Linked DNA regions of Lepisosteus oculatus. The protein of the gene in region 1 binds, or shares a complex with, the protein of each later gene. Links are inferred from orthologs where the notes say so. Each region holds a gene or a part of one and is shown on either strand. Other genes may lie near its edges.

Evidence for each region. Proteins that work in one complex are often made in the same cells at the same time.
Region 2: the proteins of eif2b4 (region 1) and eukaryotic translation initiation factor 2 subunit 1 are in contact, whole or in part, in a cryo-EM structure (PDB 6O81), measured with the Homo sapiens proteins. The link is inferred for Lepisosteus oculatus from reciprocal best matches to the Homo sapiens genes EIF2B4 and EIF2S1. Residues at the interface, in NP_001029288.1 of Homo sapiens: Asn245, Glu246, Glu247, Arg250, Thr285, Ser520, Ser521, Asp522; in NP_004085.1 of Homo sapiens: Met30, Tyr33, Met45, Arg55, Arg57, Arg75, Glu79, Lys80, Tyr82.

What each region holds. Positions count from the first base shown.
Region 1 is NC_090697.1:17,195,309-17,206,218, forward strand, and holds the start of eif2b4 (translation initiation factor eIF2B subunit delta), read right to left. Parts: upstream 5,492-10,910; 5' UTR 5,431-5,491; coding exon 5,370-5,430; intron 3,738-5,369; coding exon 3,697-3,737; intron 3,350-3,696; coding exon 3,190-3,349; intron 1,669-3,189; coding exon 1,474-1,668; intron 1,031-1,473; coding exon 948-1,030; intron 1-947. UniProt on the Homo sapiens protein: Acts as a component of the translation initiation factor 2B (eIF2B) complex, which catalyzes the exchange of GDP for GTP on eukaryotic initiation factor 2 (eIF2) gamma subunit.
Region 2 is NC_090703.1:26,160,410-26,171,158, reverse strand, and holds the start of eukaryotic translation initiation factor 2 subunit 1, read right to left. Parts: upstream 4,844-10,749; 5' UTR 4,665-4,843; intron 1,124-4,664; 5' UTR 1,123-1,123; coding exon 882-1,122; intron 1-881. Other genes in the region: atp6v1d (V-type proton ATPase subunit D), read left to right, coding at 5,946-5,986. UniProt on the Homo sapiens protein: Member of the eIF2 complex that functions in the early steps of protein synthesis by forming a ternary complex with GTP and initiator tRNA. This complex binds to a 40S ribosomal subunit, followed by mRNA binding to form a 43S pre-initiation complex (43S PIC).

The DNA.
Region 1 (10,910 bases):
TTGCAGGATGATATGGCTTGGTCAAAACACCCTCACTTGCAGATCTCAGTACCTAAATAAATTTACAGGGAAGTATACAAAACTAGATTTCCCAACACGACTTCCTAAACTACATAAAAAATACTGAATGAAAAGCATGGGAAATGATACAGCACAAGTACTGCTGACAAAGCAGTATTATGCTTTTCAAGGGTAAAAGCAAGATTCAAACAGCATGAGGCTCTATTAACTACTGATTTTTAAAAGATCTAGCTCATACTATTATTGTTTACCCTTCACCTAGTTTTTTAAACGAGCTCTACAAAGTTGTACAGAAAGTTTAAGATTTTTTGTAAATCTTCATCACCCATAGTTCATTAGGCAAGGTCGGTGTAACCTGGAGAAGCCTTATACCAGGTTTGTAAGTGAAGTGAAAAAGGCATTCACAGTCTACACTACATGATAATACTTCATCAATTTCCCTACAGGATTAATAAAGTATTATCTATCTATTTATCTATAATGGAACATACTATACTGATTTTTTTCCAGGAGTAATATTTCTTGTTGCGTTTAAGCCAAAAGTGCCTGGAATTTCTGCATTCTTCAGGAGCACATCAGCTGAACCTTCAGTACAAATACATCATCTATCATTTCTTAAGTACTTCTATTTCATCCTGTTAAAATATCTTATTATGCTAACATTTATAGTCCATGTAGCATAATGTAGCTTGGGTATGTAGCAAACCCAGTCTAATCTGAAATTGGCTAGATGCTCCTAACTACTAGAAGATGAAACTAGGATGCAATTATTTGAGTAACTGGAGATTTTTTATTTGTTTCTTTAACCCAGGACTTAGGTAAGCCCCAGAACTCAGGTACTATCACGCTGCATAACAGCAGTCTTCCCGATGCCTCACGCACCCAGCTGAAAACAGACATTGCAGTATTTTTCCCCACTTTTTCACCTGTTGCCTTTCCAATTTCTTGGCCAGCTTCTTCAGCACTGCAGGATCATCCACTTGAATGTGCTCTGGAAGCCGCTTCACAACTACAGTGAAGGAGAGGGAAAACCAAAGTTTGCAGTAGGACTTCCAAACTCTAATCAAAAGACTGTTGATATCATTCATCCAATGCCAAACCAATTCATCCCACAGCCCCAGCTGTACAGTAATACCACAGAGACAATGTTTCTATAATCTTCTTTACCTCAACAAGAAATTGATTAATTTTTAAGAGATCACTCCATTTATGAAAGGTATGCGAGTCAGACATACTATTATGTAAAGAAACAGCTACTTTTAGTACTTAATATATAACTACATAAGACACATGTGGGTAAACAGACAAATACACATTAATATATACGCCCTGATATGTTTTCATAAAAAAAAACAATTGGATACATGATCAGCACAAACTCGCTTTTCACAAGAACACTGTGTTTACACTCCTAAACAGAGCAGCAAATCTAGGCTTTTAACAGAGCTGTACCTGGCTGTGGTTCACTGGGAAGAGCCTTAGGCTTGGCAGTAGAAGGGGGCTGACCGGGGTCTTTTTTGCCTGTTTTGGCAGCTCGGTCCGCTTCCTGCCGGGCTCTTCTCTCTGCGCGCAGCTCTGCTTTGCTCTTGGCTGGGGCAGACTTCTCTACTCCTGCTGGGGCCTCAGACACCGAGCCTAACTGGGGGGCTTAAAAACAAAGCAATATCCACCGCTGGTTCAAAAAGCAAACACTGGTCAGGGGTTCACAGCTGTGTCGTCAAACAATGGGCTACTTTCACAAAAGCCACTCCAATGTATTTGACAAAAAAAGTAAGAATAAAAAACAATATCACAGCCTAAACGCACAGAATTTTAATTGGATTGTTCAGTCATGAAGTAAGAAGTAGAAACAGAACATGATATTTTATTCTGGATTTGGTTGACATTCCAATAGTTAAGTAAACTTGGTTCATTTTAAATACATTTTTTTTTTTAAAACGTTGATGCTAGACAAACACACAGTGCCTGATCTACCCACCCACACTCTTGTACGTCTTGGGGAATTGGTCCTCACACTGATTGCTTTCTCATTCAATAACTTTTTTTATCAGCAGGAAGGGACCCAGCTATTTAAATATTGCTGTCGACTGGGTAAAAGAATGCGTCTTCACTTGCCTACATTGGCTTTGTCCCTGACCTCTACAGGTGATACATCGATGACTGCGTCGGTGCTGCCACATGCTCCAGTGACCAATTAGAGTACTTTCTGAATCAATTCACCAACTTCCACCCATCCCTCAAAGATAAAAAGCACTGTGAAAACAGTATTTTGACCCTGAGCCGTGTAACCAGTGAGTACCGCCACGCGAGGGTGCCCCTCAAATACTCGCGCACTTGAAGTCCACACGTGCACTACGTCACAGAAGTGCGGACTTGGAGGAAGTGCTTAGAGCTCCGTACGAGAATTGGGACACGACATAAGCATTTCTGAATGTCTTTTGCAGCTTCTACAGGGTTTACTCATCATCTTACTTTGGAATTACATGCAAATTTGATGAATTTGTTAGCCAGAATCTAGATCATTGATATCAATTAGCACTAAGTGTTGACCAAATCCCAGTGGTTCTCCACAAAATACATCACCCCAGTCAGAACATTTCCTCTTATGTTTCCCCTCAGTTTCCTGTTCATTAACTAATTCTTAATCCAAGTATATTTATTACCTTGAATCCTTGTCATCTACAATCTAAGAATTAATCTTATGATAGACTTTAAAAACCTAATTAGAAATATTGTATGCTCTGTCTGTATTCATTGCCGCTGTTGGACATTCAAAGACCTCTAATCTATGCTGACTGTCCAGGTGATCCTTTAGCGTAGCCCTAATATTCCATGTAAAAGAAGTAAGACTAGATTATCGGTCTATAATTACTAGCTTCAATTTTATCACTGTTTTTACACGTAGGCGCTAAATTAGCAACTTTTCATTCCGGGGGTATTACCCCAGATTTGAGAGAAGGCAGGAAGAGGTTTGTTAATGGCCTATAAATTACATGAATTGTTATGTAACAAATAAGGTTCTGGTGGTACAGGAACACTGCAATGATTAAAATGGCAGCAAGTCAAAGTCCTCTTTTAGAATGAAAAGTTCTGAACCCCTGCATGTCCCTAATAGGATGGTGGAAACCCTACTCTTCTGTCAATGTTAAGTGCACTCGCAGCCCCTACCTTTCTGTGTCTGGGTCTGCTGTCCAATGGCAGGAACAACTGCTTTCTTCTCTTTCTCATTGTCTGCAGAACCCTTGTCCTCCTTCTTGTTTTTCTTCTGCTGCTTCTTCTCTTTTCGCAGCCGTTGCTTCTCCTCCTTGGACAGCTCCTTGCCCTCAGCCTGAGAGTAGCAGGTGAAACCGATTGTAAAAGAGCAGACATTCAGTTCTGTCGTGAACGGAGCTTGCCAGGCGGGACTGCTGCTGCTGATTCACTAAAATATCTCAGGAAAAAGCCCTTAGAATGCTGAGCTAACAAGAAGAATACACAATACAAACTGGTTCCCCTTCTCCATTCCACAACTGTTATTGAAACTGTTTCATAGAAGTCTTATCATTCTGTAGAACTTCATTGATATCATTTCTGCAGCAGTTGTCGCTAACCAAATACCAGCCACATGCTGCAATGAAATGGTTATTATTTTCAGAAATCAAAAGGTATGGAAAATTATGTCACTAACATACTTACTTTGCAGATTAATAAATCTTTTTTCTTTGGGTCACTTTCATCTGTAAAAAAAAAGAAGAAAATTAATAACAGCAGCACTTTTAACACAAGATCTTTATATCAACTGTAGATGTGAATTCACAATGCTTTAAGGTGGCAGAATACTGTAAAGGATTGTGAATAGACAGCATCACCTTAGTATTCATGATGCATCACTTGTCCCATCCACAAAAAATATGGTTCATAGCACAGCTGCTATAGAGGGTTAATTGCCCCTCATGGCAAGAAAACAACGGGAGTCTCTCCAGTAGAGACATTTGCATGTCGAGCCCTTTGGTCTTATTGTCATAATTTGAGCCTGGGTTGTGTCACTTGCCCAATGGTTCTTAATGGTAGTTCTGAAGGCAAACTTTCGGTGCGGATCCTAATTCCAGCTGAGCTCTACATCACTAAATTTGTTATGTAATTGATCTACTTGATTGTTAGGAATTTTATTTAACTTGCTTCTTCAGTCAGTCCTGAATGACAAACTATTTCTAACAGCTACAGCATAGAGAACCTTATGCAGACTCTACTCAAAATGACCACATAAAAGCTGCCTATACAGCTCTTATAGTTCACCAATTGATGATAAACAGACACAAGTAGGAATGATACTCTATCAGACAATCTGTGTATTTTTTTTTCAACCTTGAAGAGGCAGAAAAACAACCCAGTAGAAAACTGAACTCAATTAGCCTGTGATTTAGAACTTGCCTGAAGACAAAATTAGACACCAGAGGTTTTTTCCAGGATCAGGATTGTAAAACACTGCACTAGCCCACTGTGACTGGGATTTCACAAGCAGCAGCACTCAGCCAATCAAGCACCTCCACCTGGGAAACCCCAGTCACAGTGGGCTACTGCCGACTGTTAAAACACACCATTACTCCAAATCTCACTCCTCTTTGTTTTGGAAAAAAAAAACATAACTTCCTCTTCATACAGTCTTCGGAGATATCACTTAAACCTAAACTTTCTTTTTATAGGCAATAAAATAGGGAGTATTTTATAGGCACACAACCACTAATAAAAATGCTCTGATACAAGACAAAGGGTCCATACTTGAATACTGAAACATCAAGACAGTTGAAAAAGTGGTGGTTTTTACTCAAATAATTCTAAACAGGGAGGTCAAGCAAGACAAATCAGGGCTCCTCAAGATATCTCAGATGCCTTGAATACAGAAACTTTCAAGTCTTCTAAACGGTAATTTAATTACCTCACTTTTCTGGTAGGGGATTCTCTTTATACATGTACCTAAATGCCTGCCAGACATGGAAATTTCTGTATCTGATGCAATGCACATGAAACGTGACACACGCTTCGGCTCCTGCATGTATTTTACTATAAACGTACAACTGAATTAACAAAAATGTTGCACTCCACTAACTAATAGTAGCAACACTGCAGCAGCAGATCTATATCCTCAGTTTCTAATGTAAGAAAATTCTGTACATGACAAAACGTACAGTTAAGAGTGTGGTGTAACAACAGTGCAGACCTGACCATCCATATATCGGCATACACACAGGCCAATCTTCTATCGCCCTAGCTAAAAACAAACTCCATCTGGATCAAAACAAAGCTATTGTTACAGGCTGAGAAACCGGCTCACTGTTCTTATGGCGATCGAACAATTTCCAGGACCTTACCTTGCAACGCTGGGGTACTATCATTCCGTTGCACCTGGCCTCTCTCTCCTAAATCAGCCATGTTCAGCAACTAGAACGGTACAATTTGACACTCGATCCCATCATTCCGTTCTCCTCCCATGATTCAGTGCATTTGAACAACACAGGAGGTCCGCTGGAGGACCCGAGTGACGTCAGAGGTATTCCGGTTAAGGATTGTAGCAGTGAGCTAATTCGCCAACCGAATTAAATTTATTTCTGATGAAAAAGTACTAATGTAACTAACCTATTACTAACAACAAACATTTTGTAATCTAAATGTTATAAAAAAGGAAAAATCGCCTTAAGCGCTTTTACATTTTCTCTCCATTCATCACAGACTAATTCAAAAATGTTTGTAGTCTTCGCTTTTGTTTTCCCGTAACGGTACTGTAAATGTTATGCAAATTAAAATTTAGATGGGATCAAAATAACATTTATAGGACAAGCAAGTGACTGCAATGATAAATTATTTTTAATTTCTCCCCACCCCCCACGGCAAAATTTATTAATGGTTAATTTTTTTGGACATTACGAGATTAAAACTATGTGTGGCGCTGTGCAATAGAACCGAAAGCCGGAGTATGTTTCTTGTCCAACCTCAAACGCATCGCATTACTCCGTTAGATATTTTAGAGATGTTTTGTACTTAAGTATTTTAAATTATACTCACATCAGAATTACAATGCATTGCCCTAATGCCCCACTATAAAGTGTGCGCATAGATATAATAATAATAAAATAATAATAATAATAATAATAATTGCTCATACTTATATAGCCCTTATATTTTCTGGACTCTCCACTCAAAGCGGTTTACAGGTAATGGGGACTCCCCTCCACCACCACCACCAATGTGCAGCCCCTGTATCATCAGTGATATGCATGTATCATATTCGAACTTGAATGTAAAAAATGCAAAAGGATATTGAACACCAAGAATCAAAAATCGTACTGTACTTTTTAAATCCTTCTCAAAAACATAATTACCTTTTTGCAGTCAAACGTATTTATTACGTACATATGTATTGTACTGTATATAAAAAATAGTTGGTTTTAAAAGCGTGCTAAAATGTTCCTGAAAAAACATGCATTGTTACAATAACTGGAAATTAGAGCTGCATTATAGAGTGTAATCACTGTTTCTTAAACTAATGTGTTTTTTACACTTTTTTTTTACACTAGTGGGTGTCTTTTGCTTAATATTCTTTAGTTGGTATAGAAATTCTAATGTTTCATTATATTGTCATTGGTTACAATCCAGCTCCTGGGCCCTAGGTTTGATTTTAGCACAGGGTGCCATCTATGTGGAGTCTGCATGCTCTCACCTTGTCCACATTGGTTTTTCTTTGAGTGTTCCGCTTCCTTTCCACCTCCCAATGATGTGCTTGTCAGGATAACTGTTGTCTTTAAATTGTCCCTGCGTGTGTGTGAGAACTGCAATGGACTGTTGTCCCATCCAGGACGTAGTCCACCTTGCAGTATGCTTCTGGGCGTAAGCTATGGTTGCCACAATTCATACTAGGCTTCCTAGGATTGGATGATGGTCACACATTTTCTGCGCAGCAGTATAATGTGGAAACACTGGATGTCTCAGTTCTTGTATTCAAACGAACTGTTTAAAATCAATTTATTGGCCATATGCAATTTCTTGTATTAGGAAATTGTCTTTTCGCATACCCCAGCTTGTTCTCTATGAGACACAAAGCCACACAGACTGGAAGAGAAGCTTGGGGTCAGAGTGCAGGGTCAGCCATTTATACAGCACCCCTGGAACAGCTGCGGTTAAGGGCCTTGCTCAGAGGCCCTACAGAGTAGGATTCCTCTGCCGGCCGCTCCTTAGCCACAGAGCCACCACATGTAGGCCCCGTTAGACGACAACCCACAGATAACAACAAAAGGCTTTATGATCAGCATTAATCTATTCATTAATGTTTTATGAAACATGAAGAATAAAATATCAATGCACATTGCTGCGCTTTACAAACTACTAATGCTAACTTCTAATCTCACAGAGGTAATATTGTGTCTTACTGCTGTCACTATGAAGGTTAAGAAAGATCAACTGTATATAACACAGTAGACATACTGGAAGGTTAATTGGCTTCAGGGAAAATTTGTCCAGGAGTGAGTGTGTGCGTGATTGTGACTATGTATTTCTTGTGACAGACTGGTATCAGATTTAGGGTGTATCCTGCATTACGCCCAATGCTTGCCAGGATAGGCTCTGGCACCCCTTACCCTGTATTCGATAGAGTGGTTAAAAGTGGATCGATGTTGGACATTACATGGATGTCCGTAATGTAACAACTACATGTAAGCAAGACACCCATTCACTGTATATTCTCATAATCCTTTGCTAACCAAATATGTGTAAAATATTGACAATAGAGAACTGTGTGCCAGGAGAACACTGAAGAACACTGCTCACCTCATAGCCAATGTACCTATAAAACAGATGACTGTACTGGAAAGGGTGTGCGTAGGTCATAGATCTTTGTGAAACAGTTTCTATGGGTAACAACACCACCTTGTGGTCCCATATATACAAAACTGTAAGAATTTGCAAATAGTGCCTTAATAAGTAGTTCAAACATACCACTTCCGTTTGGTTTGGGTTGTGGCTGTGGCAGCTTTTCTGTTCACACAAGCAAATGACTCAAGATCTATAAATATTCAAGATGTATTACCAACTCATCAGTAATAATCTTTCTCTTAAAGTGGGTATGTTCAGCTGTATTCCAAAACGCTAAGACTCACAATCACAAGCCATTTAAAAGTGTGATTTGATGCCATTTCACTTTGTTGAATCCTTATTTTGAAAGTCTCTCAATGTGTGCAGTTCTTACTTCAAATTTTAAAATATATCAAGATAGCAGTAACTTCTTAATATTGTTGGAACAGCCTCTGATAAACTTTCAGTGGATTCAGAAGCACTGAAAAAGGGTAATGCACAAAGACATTTTTTCAAAGACAAAAGCTACATAGTTTATTTAGTTATTTTTGTAAAGTATGCTTCCCACCCTGCAAAAGAATCATGGCCATAAGAGTCTAATGTAGCAGAGCTTAAGAAATGCATCAAGTATGAAATGTTAAATATTCTGTTGGCATGTAATGGTTTTTAAACAATTTTGACACTGTACTGAAAGGTTGGCTAGGTGACTACAACCTTAAAGTGAAGCTTGAAAGATGACATATATCTAATCTCTTTTGAGAAACAGTTAATCTACAAAGTGTTACTCCCGACTATTAAAGCCCAGATTTTCCTGTCTGCATCTGTGTTTATGTTTCCTGTGCGGTTTCAATTATGTGACTGAGAAAGTGAAATGTGCGTATAAATAACATGAAGTAAGAGAAATACAATACATTGTATTTTAAGCATAAAGTCTTTGTACAGTATTCATAACATGATGTTCTAAAAAAGCAAGTCTGTTTTTCCAGTTAAATGTTTTTTTTAAATAAATGTAAATAAAATAAAGTTTTTTAGTTTGTTGTTTCAGTTGATTTGAGACATTTTAAGTGGAGAGTTTTATGATAGTGATTTAGAAGCCTTGTCATTAATTATTGATAAATCACTATTTTTAGTACCAATATGAATTTTGATATGTACTGTTATTGCTCTAGTAATACTTTTGTCACCCTGTAATATCTCAGTGCTAAACAGTGGTCTTTATCTGTGGGCTGTGGGCTGTGTCTGCGCAATAACGTACAGCTACGCTCTGCACAATTCCTGTGGGTTTTGTGTAGTTTTCCTGCATAATGTACAGGCATTCTGAACGTGCACAGCAGGCTTTTTAAAACAGGTGCACGATAGAAAATGAAATACTGCAGCATTCCTGCGTGCACATTTGTAATCACTCAGATTACTGCTAAGAGTCCTGCAGGGACAGAACCCAGAGAAATACATCCTACAAGATTGCTGTCAGAAATTAAACTGATGTTCATTTATTACGTATTTTATTTAACAGGCACAAATCCTGGGCACTTTAGGGTATTAGTTGAGTGTGGGTGAATAGGGATGTCCTGTGACAGCAAAATTTTTGGAAGGGATGTCTTTAGCAGCCCATTGTCTGACTCGGCAAGCTTGTAAATTCAACAAAGGAACTAGAGCAGAACCAGTTTTATCATCCCCCCCAAACTGAAAATTATACTCAAAACTCTTCGTCTCTTGTTGGTCATGTTTTTATAAGCTTTTCTTTTTATCAGAATAAAACTTTATTCAGTTTATGATGCCTGCATGAGAGAGGATTTTAGACACAAAATGAAAAACAGTTAAACAGTTTGAAAATTAAACATGTTTAATATATAGTTCATTTACTTTAGTGGTCTAACAGCCTATCATGTTTTGCTTTTCAGGTACTGTATTCATAAACTTATGTTAACATTTATAAATATGGTAAAGGTAAGTTTTGTAGAAACCAAATGATGAAACAGAATACAATGGAAGACATGAAGACAGCACACCTCTGTTTCAGAAGGAGTTGAAGTACACTGATGTCGATACTCATTCCGAAATATAATTGCAAAAATAAATAAAAAATATTCAGTGTTAATCAAAAGTTTATATCATATTCTTTGATCCCTCTTCATTTATTGTTTTCATATATCTCCATGTTTTGAAATAGCTCTGAGAAACGATTATTTTAAGACGTGTCTCTCCTGGCAAAATTAAGCAGTTGTAAAATCCCACAGAAATCCTTTAAAAGGATATTTACTGAAATCTTTCAAAATCCTTTAGAGGTCCTACAAGTTACTGATCAAACCTACAGTGTAGAAATCCTGTAAAAGTGATGGTTTTATCTTTTATGAATCCTGTAAAAATCATAAACAAAAATACATATAAAACCTGAGAAGATCCTGTACATTTATCAACTTGTACTAAAGGGATAAAGGAACGCATTATTGCCCACTTCTGCAGGAATACTATAGTAAAATAAAACGCTTTTGTACAGGACATTTCTCTAAGAAGTATAGACCTTTTCGTTCTGCCGGTTAACGTACTGTACATGCAATCCTTTATACAAACTTCCACGTTATTAAAAGGTGCTCATTTCGCGGGCCTTTGTTCACATTACATTTACATAAAACACACTCTGTCAGATTAGTTTTAAAAAATGATTGATCAGTATATATTGATCAGGGCTGATCTCCGAAGAGATCACTCTTCTGTGCCCCAAACACACAAAGATATACACGGCAAATTCACGGTAGTTAATGAACCTTGTCCAGAAGATGTAACTGGGCATCTGATTCAAGTTCTTTGAATATACATTCACCTAGCTGTTTTTGTATGCAACCGCTGCAGCTATTCAGAGCCTGTGGAGTCTGCAAACGCTTGATCACCTGACCTTTCAGGTTCCGCGAGAACGTACCATGAACCTAAAGGGTGAAAACCTGTTTTATGAATTGTGTTTGAAGTGTGAAAGAGAAGAAATAATTGTATATATCACGAAACATTTAAATGTTTTTCTTTATTCACTATAAATGTTGTATTTATATATTTCAATTAACGAGTTATGCGGA
Region 2 (10,749 bases), on another chromosome or scaffold:
ACTTGCCACTGCTTCAGAAGAGGGGCAGGCAACCACAAAGGTTGGGTTCCTGTAGGTTTCTGAGGCACCTCTCAATTTGCATCTGATTTATAAAACCTGACCTGGAAAAGACATTGGATTTGACTTCTTTGCTCACAAATCCGATTTGTTCAATTATGTGATTGAAGCGCAAGATGGAATGACCTTTCAACCTTTTACTCTGTTAAACCGTTTCTCCCCCCAAAATCTTTTCATTGTTTTTCAATATTAACTATTACCTTAGTCATTACAACTCTCCCATAAAAACTTCATCATGCAGCTTTATTGGTTGCACTGGAAAAGTAAAACATTTGAGACATCTACCACACTACTCAAAATGAAGGCCATGAAGCTAAAAATGTCTCCAGAACATGGGTGAACCAAAAATCCTGAAAATCAGGGTTTAGAACTAGGGTTCCCAGTCCAGCTGGCTGTAACTCCACTGTCAGGTAGTTTTTGTTTCAGCAGAACACATAATTAATCACTGACCCAAACGTATATAATAACCAAATTAAGATGTTTTAATCGTTTGCAGCCATAAAACTTGTAATTTAGAGATGTTGTTATACCTGTACTAATTAACTAACTTTTTATGATTTAAAAATTAAAAAGGCCTAATCAGTCATATTAGTTCCACGAAGCTGGTTAGAGTCCAGGTGAAAAGAAACCATTCAAAACACAGATTCAAATCAACCACACATGGGAAGAAACTGGACTATAATTTACTGCCTTTGTAACATCATGGCTCTCTACTGAATTGATCGATTTGGCAAAATTCCCTCAAGGACAAGCAGAGAGAGGTCACTGCTTCACAGGCCAGCTCTTGCCTAGATTCTCAGGCAACACTTGCTTGTGCTACTCACCTTTCTCCTTGTCCACCCTGATGACCACCACGCACTCGTTGCGGCCGATGCGGATGAGTTTGTTTATGGAGCGTATTCGTCTCCGAGAGAGCTCGCTCAGCAGGATCATACCCTCGATATTGTTGTACTCCAGCAGGCTGACATAGGCACCCATCTCTGCGATGGAGCGTACGTTCACCATTACCACATCCTCCACTTCCGGGAACTTGTGCTGGTAAAATCTACAGCTGAGCCCCGGCATGCTGGCAACAGAAAAGGCACATCCCATGGCATGACACACACACAGGAAAGGCAGGGAAAGACAGCTCTAGTGCATAGACTTTCAAACTAGATAACTTGTACCTTTATACACTGATGTAGGTCAGCACAAAATCGCAAGCCTTTGCTCAACAGCATACGTATTTCAGCCATACAGTGAAAAGCATAATTACTGGGACAGTGAAGTGAAATTTGTCATATATGCGAATGATTTTAAATTACTAATGAAATATGAATTTCAGATCAAAAGATTAATATAAGGTAAAGTACAGAATTCCAGTCTTTGTTTCTGGGAACACTTTTGCACACAATACTAAAAAAATGTCAGTTGTTGTGTTTAAATCCCCCATTTCAGATGAGCACAAATATTAGAACAAATGTTTCTAATTGCTCAAGTGAAGACACAAAAATTGTGAATGTATAGCCTTGGTTCTAGTCTTTGGGTGTTTACTTTTTCAGTCTGCCCCTTGAGTTAGAAACATTAATCAAGATGATGACTAGACAGTTGTCTATGATGAAAAACCAAGTAAGAAAATGAAAGCAAAGAAAATTCCAATTAGAGCCACTGCAGAGAAACTGGGCATCACAAAATCAATTATAGAATGTGCTGAAAAGGAAGAAAGTACTAGAGGTGTAAGCATTTGGCAAATACCAGGTACTTCAAGGAAGATGACAACAATTGATACAAAAATCATTAGAGCTGTAAAGAAAACCCCTACAATAACAGCCAAAGAGATTACAGACAATCTCCAGAGTGCAGAGGTGAAAGTATTTCAATTCATTGTGTTGTGACAGGAGAATTACAAGAGATAAACTGCAAGATTCAAAACTCTTAAGCCTTTTTTAGTCTTATCAGCACTAAGAACAAAAAGGCCAGGTTATAATCTGCAAAGAAGTACAAAGATGAGCCACAACAGCTCTGGAAAAAAAGTTTCATGGATAGATGAGATGAACATAAACCTCTATCAAAGTGATGGAAAGACAAAAGAGGGGAAAAGGAGAGGAACTGCACATGATCCTAAGCACACCACCTCATCAGTAAAACATACTGGAGTTAGTGTCATGGCTTTTGCATACAAGGCTACCTCCAGATCTAGCTGACTGGTCTTTCTTAAGGATATAACTAATGGTAACAGCAGAATGAATTCTGAAGTGTGTGGAAATATCTTGTCTATGTCCAAAAAATGCTCTAAAACTCAGTGGATGGCAATTCAACCTGCAACAAGACAATGGCCCAAAATATACTGCACACTTAGCCAAGGCAGTAGGGTTCATCAGGAAGAAGAAGTGGAAACTTCTGAGCTGGCAAAGCATCTCAAAGGAAAATATCAAGTCTGGTGATGTTGTTGGGTTGCAGACTTGAAGCAGTTATCACTTGTAAGGGGTAATTAACTCAAAGTTAATTTGTCTCAATACTTTTGCTGACAAAACAAATCAGGAGGGACTGACCATAAAACCATTTTTTTTAAACATGTATGCACAAAAATATCCCAATATAAAAGCTTGCATTCTGTTTAAGCTGCCTTATGTTCATCTTTAAATCTGAAATACAATTTGGAAAAGTATGCAGCAAAAGCGACACATTTTACTTCACTCTATATTTGTTATACCACAAACCTGTGAAGGATTGAACTGAGTGTTCTAAAAAGAACTGTAATTCTATGGGACTGGCTTTGTAATGAAAAACAGTGTTAAATATTATCAAATTTAAATAAGGAAATTTAATAAATTAATTAAAATCAATTTTCTTTAGATTATAGTAGTCAGTTTCTAAAGCACTGAATCATGTGTATACTACATGAACCCTGTTGCTATAGTATACTGTAAGAAAAGAAAAATAAAGCTATTAGTAGTTTTGGATGAAATCTTAGTGAAGTAGTCCAAGTCTTATTGTTCCAGAAACTATTCAGAAACAATACATCTGAAGGATTTCAATTGCTATATACGCAGACCTTATAGAAGCATTCAAAAGTGCTTTGGTTGCTCTAATTGTACATTGTGATGTTTCACATTAAAGCAGCAGGGACATCAAATAGAATTCAATTTGAAACAAAAGATCACTTACAACCAATACCAGAAACGTGTGATAATGTCTTTACGAATAGCTAAATAGCTGCAGGGGAGATGAAAACTCAGCCAAACAAAAAGTACAAATACTCTAACCACAAAATGAAATCTATCTTGAAAGATAACCACAAAATGAGATCTAATATCTAGAAAGATAAATAAAATACAGTTGCAGATACTGTGAAGATCTTGACTCCTAACTAACCATCTTGTAGCGTGATCTCATGAGATTTCAGAAGCTGATCAAGAGTTGGCCCTGATCAGTAATAGGATAGGAGACCTCCCAAACAAAACAGGTTGTGTTGGTGGATTAGAATTTGAAAACTGATGCCTCAGTATGGTGACCAAGACCACTCTGCTGTATAAGATGTATCCCTTAGATTAGATATTACACTTAGGTGTAAACTACTTGGTCATTAAAATCCCATGGCACCGGCTCTGGTGGCTTGGCTAAATTCACTTCTGGGCCTGTGCAATTCAGCCTACCTAAAGTTATCACTTAATTAATTTGATGACACAATTTCTGTTCTGTTATGGGGCTGCTGGCACATAATAGCAACCTAACATCACACAGCCAAACTCACCATGTAATATTTTCTTTTTCTGATGTGTTTTATAACTTTACTAATTTTAACACGATTTATAACTGTTTTTGCGTATCAGCCAGCTCCCAGAAAGAGTAAGACGACTATCTCGCATGAGAAGTGGTATAGGGCAGGTTTTCATGTGGTAAATACATGTGGTAATACAAGAATGGTCTGAAGAGCAAATGATTTGGGCACAAGAGCGTGCCATATAAATATATAAGAGGGGGTATTGAATAAAGCCACCACTAGTCTAGGATGACCTTTTTAATAATGGGCATTACTGCTTCAATCGCATGTCCCGAAAGACTATCGTGAAAAATTAAGGAGACTTGGGATAATCACTTCACCAGAACACGACCGACTGTGCATATTCCTGCCTTTTTCGTAAACTGAAATTTTCAGTCAATGGTGAAAGAATCGGTCAATTTCAGTTCCTGTCATTTTAATTTCCCAATACACTGAGACCACTTTACAATATCGTATATATACAGTTGAATTTTGAAGGCATGTGGCGACTTCTGCAACTCTTCTCAGAAGAATGGTATCGTTACGCACTTCTGTTAGTTTTTTATATGACTTCTTGAGTAAATCTGGCACATAAACTGCATCTTTGTAACATTTTGAGGCACTTTTCCCAAAGCAAATTACTACAACGCTCTAACGAAGACAGGTTGTGTGACCAGACCGCTGAGATTCGTAACAACATTAGATGGTGAATGACTGTCCCGAATAAACCTCTGGCCAAAAAGCTAGTTTATTATCAGCCACATCTGTATCAGTTTCTACAGTAACATCACATGTAGCAAGACTACTCTCCCCCTCCACCCAATTCATTCATTTTCTGAACCAAGGGATTAAAAAGCGACACTACCTTTATTCTTGATAGAGATCCAAACTCCGTAATGTTGAATAATTCACCTACGTTTGAGTATTTCTCCTCTCGACAAAGTTACGCAGAAAAAAATGTATTTTCTAGTTAAACGCTGAGAACGGCCTAAACCTTAAGCGCAGTTAGTTTCCTCAGCATGGACGCACAAACACGTAAACCCTGACCCGGAAAAGGAAACTATGAAAAGGGAATCGGCTTCGCAAGTTTTGTGACGGTGACACCTAGTGGAGGTGAAAGTTGCTGTTCTTATGCACGAGAATAAGAAAAGTACATCTGTTACCAAAACCTAAAATACAACAAAACTGTCTCGATGATGTAGACACATTTGTTATATAGAATATATATATATATATTTGTTTTTCTCCGTTTCAATTCTCAGGAAAATTTGTTTTTCTTTTGTCAGTGGTTGAAAGAATACACTGATGCAGACGATTACTCACACATTTATGATCGATAGAAAAAGCATATTTTTGAATTATACGAGCAAATAATTGAAATTAGCATCCAATAGTATGAAAGACCACTGGAGCTTTTCTACGTTTGAGAACTGTAGCTAACGAGCGAAAAACACAGAGCTTGAAAACCGCTCATAAACCCTCATAAAACGATTTTTTAAAATCTAAGGAATTTAGAAATTTCGTTTTTATGTTTCATTAAAAGCTTCAAGCATGGCAAAATTAATAATACAATTTTTGCGGCATTATTCGAGAAATTATTTAATTAATAAAACAAGACAAGTACTTAAAATAAATAATACTATTCAAAAGGTTTTTTTTTTATTTATGCATAAGAGATTAACAAAAATTACAATACAAACAAAAGTACATATAACAGTTCAAGACAAAAAGATCGTCAGGGGTAGATACTACTACATAAATTCAAGTTATGTAAAAAGATTAAACAAATTAAATAAAAATAATGTTTTCATATATATTTTTTTACTTTCATATTTTTGCTACTATTCAAAAGGTACAACTTCTGTCCTTCGGTTCTTACTGACATGTCGTTGGTTCTGACGTACCCAGTTTTACCTTTGACCTTCGCCACCTCTGTCACATGACGTTTACCCAGCTGATTCGCCTCTGACTGACACTGTTGACCAGGGAGATTTCCAGTTTGCTTTTTCCCGAAAGCTATTGAATAGGGAAATCATTATAAGGAAGGACGTCTTAATAAAGAACAGTTTTCCTAGGATAAATTCTATTGCAATAAAAGTATACTGAACCTAGGCAAATCAAAGACGCGTCGCTTGCATCCAACAACATGTCAGGCAAGGACAGGATCGAAATTTTCCCATCCAGAATGTGAGTATAATTATTCTTGCAACATCCAGTTCGTTTCTGCAACGCATAACGAATAATATAACAGCACAACGACAGAAGCATTCCAGACGTTATATTAAGCTTAATTTGTACATTTGTCAAATCAATTTGTTCCGAAAGTTGGAACAAATTGTTCCTGACAGGACGCAACTGCCTTTTTTGAATCGAGTGTGTAAAAAGCTTTACTTATATATTTTTAAGTTTTGTTTTTAAAGATAGATGATTATGGTGTGATATGTCCTCAATGACATATTTAATATTCTTTGAAGTTTTTAGTAATGTTACATTAATTTGACATATATTTAAAAATACATATTTACAAAAATGTGAAGCGAGTGTATAGGTAGTATATCTGTGTGTAGGGTAACGTGACTCAAAAAGTTGTTCTAAATGAGGAAGGATTATTGTGCGACAGGCCCTAGATCATGTGAGAAAGAACAGCTAATTTTTTCAACAGAGCTCTGCTCTCTCTGTGTGATGTCTGGAATTTATCTCAGTCAATACAAAACTAATATTTTCCCAGCTCAGGATGGTTTTAGAACAAGCACTGTAACGTCTGCATGTGTGTGATATTTTAAAGGTTTTTTTTTTGTCTTAGTGGTTGATGAATGTTTTTTTCCACAGAAACACACATATCATTTGCGTCGTTAGAAAAGTTTAACTCTTTATAGTGCAGGCCTTTTATTTGCTACCAAGGCAGCAGAATCTTTACTTTCTGTAGATAATTTAGCAATGCTGGGCAGTCTGGATGAAAGCATTCCAGTAATACAGTTACAGAGACGCTTTGTGTCTAGTAGTCTTAATAAAAACATAAGAGAGGGATGCTGATGAGAAGAAACCTAACAAGAAAACCTTATTTATACCTATTAGGATCTTCTAAAATTGAATAATTCTCCTCTCATTTTCCTTTGTCCTAGACTGAAAAGATTTAACCTTGAGCCTTTGAAAAATTATTGTTTCTCCATTGAACTATTTTTACATTTGTATAGATGTACAATATCATTGTTTGGTATTGTGGCCAGAACTGAACATAGTATTATAAAGTGAGTTTTTACTTGTACATTGTAAAGCATAAGCATAACTTCCCTGGAGTTAAGTTAAACACTTCTATATACTGAAGCATTCGGTTTCTTTTTATTTGATTCACCATATTGTCTTGATGAGGACATTAAAACAGAAAACAGGATGCTATGGATTCAATATGGTGAGGCCTAGTCAATTTTTTGGTTTTGAGCAATCTTAACCCCTGTTGAACCTCAGTTTCAGACATGTTAAAATTACCCTAAAACTAATGTTTTGTTTAGCAGTGGATGTGTTATTGAAATCTTTAACTGTAAAAGCTTGCATGAAATATTCATTTAGCATGGTTACTATTTCATTATCATCTTCTATTAATCCACTGTTATTTCTTAAGCTATTATAAATTATTCTTTCACTGCTGCAGTACAGGAAAAAATGCTCTACTATAATTATTTGTGTCTAGTGAAGTACAGTATTCTTTTAAGTCTACTTCTAAGCAATAGTAATACAATTTTTCAGATGTGGCTCAGTATGCTCTTTTTCCATTTTAATTTTGGTATTTTACACTGTAGAGCTCTCTCTAGAGTGCTCCTTTTTTCTTAATATCTTCTTTAAACAACTTAGGCCACATTTACATAGACATGGACTTTTTTAAGCACCAATTTGATTTTGGCCTTTAGTGTTAATAATAATAATAATAATAATAATAATAATAATTGCTTACACTTATATAGCGCTTTTCTGGACACTCCACTCAAAGTGCTTTACAGGTAATGGGGACTCCCCTCCACCACCACCAATGTGCAGCATCCACCTCGATGATGCCACGGCAGCCATAGTGCGCCAGAACGCTCACCACACATCAGGTATCAGTGGGGAGGAGAGCAGAGTAATGTAGCCAATTCATAGATGGGGATTATTAGGAGGCCATGATTGGTAAAGGCCAATGGGAAAATTTGGCCAGGATGCCGGGGTTACACCCCTACTCTTTTCGAGAAACGCCCTGGGATTTTTAATGACCACAGAGAGTCAGGACCTCGGTTTTACATCTCATCCGAAGGACGGATGATGTGTTGTGTCCTGTGTGGTGTTGAGCTAGGCCATGGTTGAAATATGCTCTATTTTACTTTGTTTTTCAGTTACTTACTAGGTAATGTGAACTAGAATACCCTAGAAAAAATACTGCTGTACTTTGACAAAAGGCCATTGCGAATCTCAATGCAACAGGCAGAATCCACATTTCCTGAACATTACTGTCCAGACTGCAGCACCACATTGTGTCCTAAGCCAAAGAGTCATGGGGACTCTACCTCTACATGAGTAATCTAACCATGGTCATTTTTGACAGTGCTGTATGTTTCCAGAATAAGTGAGTGACAGGTCTTTGTTGTTATAGTCACCCTAAAAAAATCACCCTAAGGTACCCATATACAGTGGATATAAAAAGTCTACGCACCCTTATTGAAATTACAGGTTTTTGTGGTGTAAAGCCAGAAATCAAGATAAATCATGTCAGAGAATTTTCCATATTTAATGTGACCTTGAAACCAACAAAATTCAAGAGAAAAACAAATAGATAATTATTAGGAAAAATAATTGAAATTAAAAAAACCTACAACACCCTGGTTCCATGAGTGTGCACACCATTTTATAGTGGGTGCTGTAGCTGTTCAGAGTTAACCAATCACATTCAAAATCATGTCCAAAGGTAAGTAGCATACACATGCCATCAATGAAAGTGATTCTGATTAACCCCAAATAAAAATCAGAATTTCCTGTAGGATTTCCTTGAAACTTTCATGGTTGCATCCTCCTGGGATAGCCATGGTCCACAAGGAGCTGACAATCAAAGGCATTGGATGTACCATGGAGCACTGTGAAGACTATCATCAATAAGTGGAGAAAATGTGTCACACAGGGACGTTGCCAAGATCAGGACAACCCTTAATATATGCGTTTTCTGTTGTCAGCGATCTCTTGGGCTCCATGCAATATAATCTGTACAGTCGTCACTGGGCAGGAATGTGTTAAATACCAGGCTGAGCTATGAAAATCTTACCCATAACAGTCAAAGGAGTTTTCTGTGCACAATACCTTTCAGCCCCAGTGACAACCAGCCAGCACTCAATGTCTTGTCACAGCACAATCCAGCCAACTCCAGATTCCAACATACTGTAACAGCTTTTGTGCTTTCACAGTTGTCTTAATAAAGTTAAAGTTTTGCAGAGAGATTTAAAGCTATTTTTACAGATATAATTCATTGTAATGTTTTCTTTAAAACCTTCTTAAATGTACTACATTTTGTTAAGAATAGGTTGGCAGTTTACTCGTTCATAACACTCTGTAACATCAGTAGACATATTGTTTTTCCTGAAGCAAAATTTGTATATAATTAACATTACTGACAAAATAAGAGTTGAGATCAGAAGTATTTAATAATAATAATAATAATAATAATAATAATAATAATAATAATAATAATAAAACCTTATTTTATATAAGCGCCTTTAAAGGTGGCTTCTCAAAGAGCTTTACAGGATGACAACAACAATAAATAAGAAGAATACACAATTACAATATAAAGAGGAGACTGTGGATGGTGGTACTAAGAAAAGCAGAGGGGTGAAGAATGAAACCAGTTAAGTAAAGGCATTTCTGAAGAAGAGGGTTTCGAGTCTGGATTTTGAAGGAGTTTAGAGAAGGTGACTCTCTGATATCCTTTGGGAGAGAGTTCCAGAGCTTGGGGCATAACAGGACAAGCCCCTGTCACCCATACAATGTAGAAGGGCTTGGGGGACAGTAAGGAGAGAAGAATTAGATGAGCGAAGGTTGCGAGGTGGAGAGTAGGGCGATAATAGTTCAGACAGGTACTGAGGTGCCAAGCCATGCAGAGCCTTATAGGTGAGCATGAGGATTTTAAAGTCTACATGGAATTTGACCAGAAGCCAGTGCAAGGATTCCAGGATAGGAGTAATGTGAACACTTGCACTAGACCTGGTTAGGATTCTGGCTGCTGAATATTGGACATACTGCTGTTTGTTCAGAGTAGATTAAGATACCCCAGCGAATAGAGCATTACAGTAGTCAATTCAAGAGAACACAAATGTGTTGATCAGCTTTTCAGCCACAGTTAGTGATAGCATAGGGCGTAGTCTAGCGAAATTTCTGAGGTGAAAAAAAGATGTTTTGACAGTATGCTGCACATGTGGGTCGAATGTTAAGCCAGAATCTAATATAACCCCAAGGTTTTTCAATTTTGATTCAAGCTCAAGTACAGAACCATCTACAGATAGGGTTACAGGACTGGCTTTACGAAGCTGATGGAGGGTGCCAATAAGCATGACTTCGGTCTTGTCGCAGTTAAGATGAAGAAAGTTTTGAGTCTTTCAAATTTTTATGTCAGAGGTGAAATTAGATAAAATAGAGACAGCCAAATCAGTGTCAGTCTGGAACACCAGACTTAACAAGACCAATTTCAGACCTGTACCCATTGAGAAAGACAAAGTGACAGCGATCAGTGAGGTAAGATTTGAGCCATTTGAAAGCAGTGTCAGAAACTCCAAACACAGTCTCAAGACGAGAAAGTAAGATGTTATGGTCAACAGTGTCAAAAGCAGCTTGTTTTTTGTCTCTACCTCATCAGATTCTTTTTGGTGAGTACAAGTAGAATATTCTCACTGGGCTTCATGAATGTAAAATGGTTTGGGTCAAACCACAATCAGTTC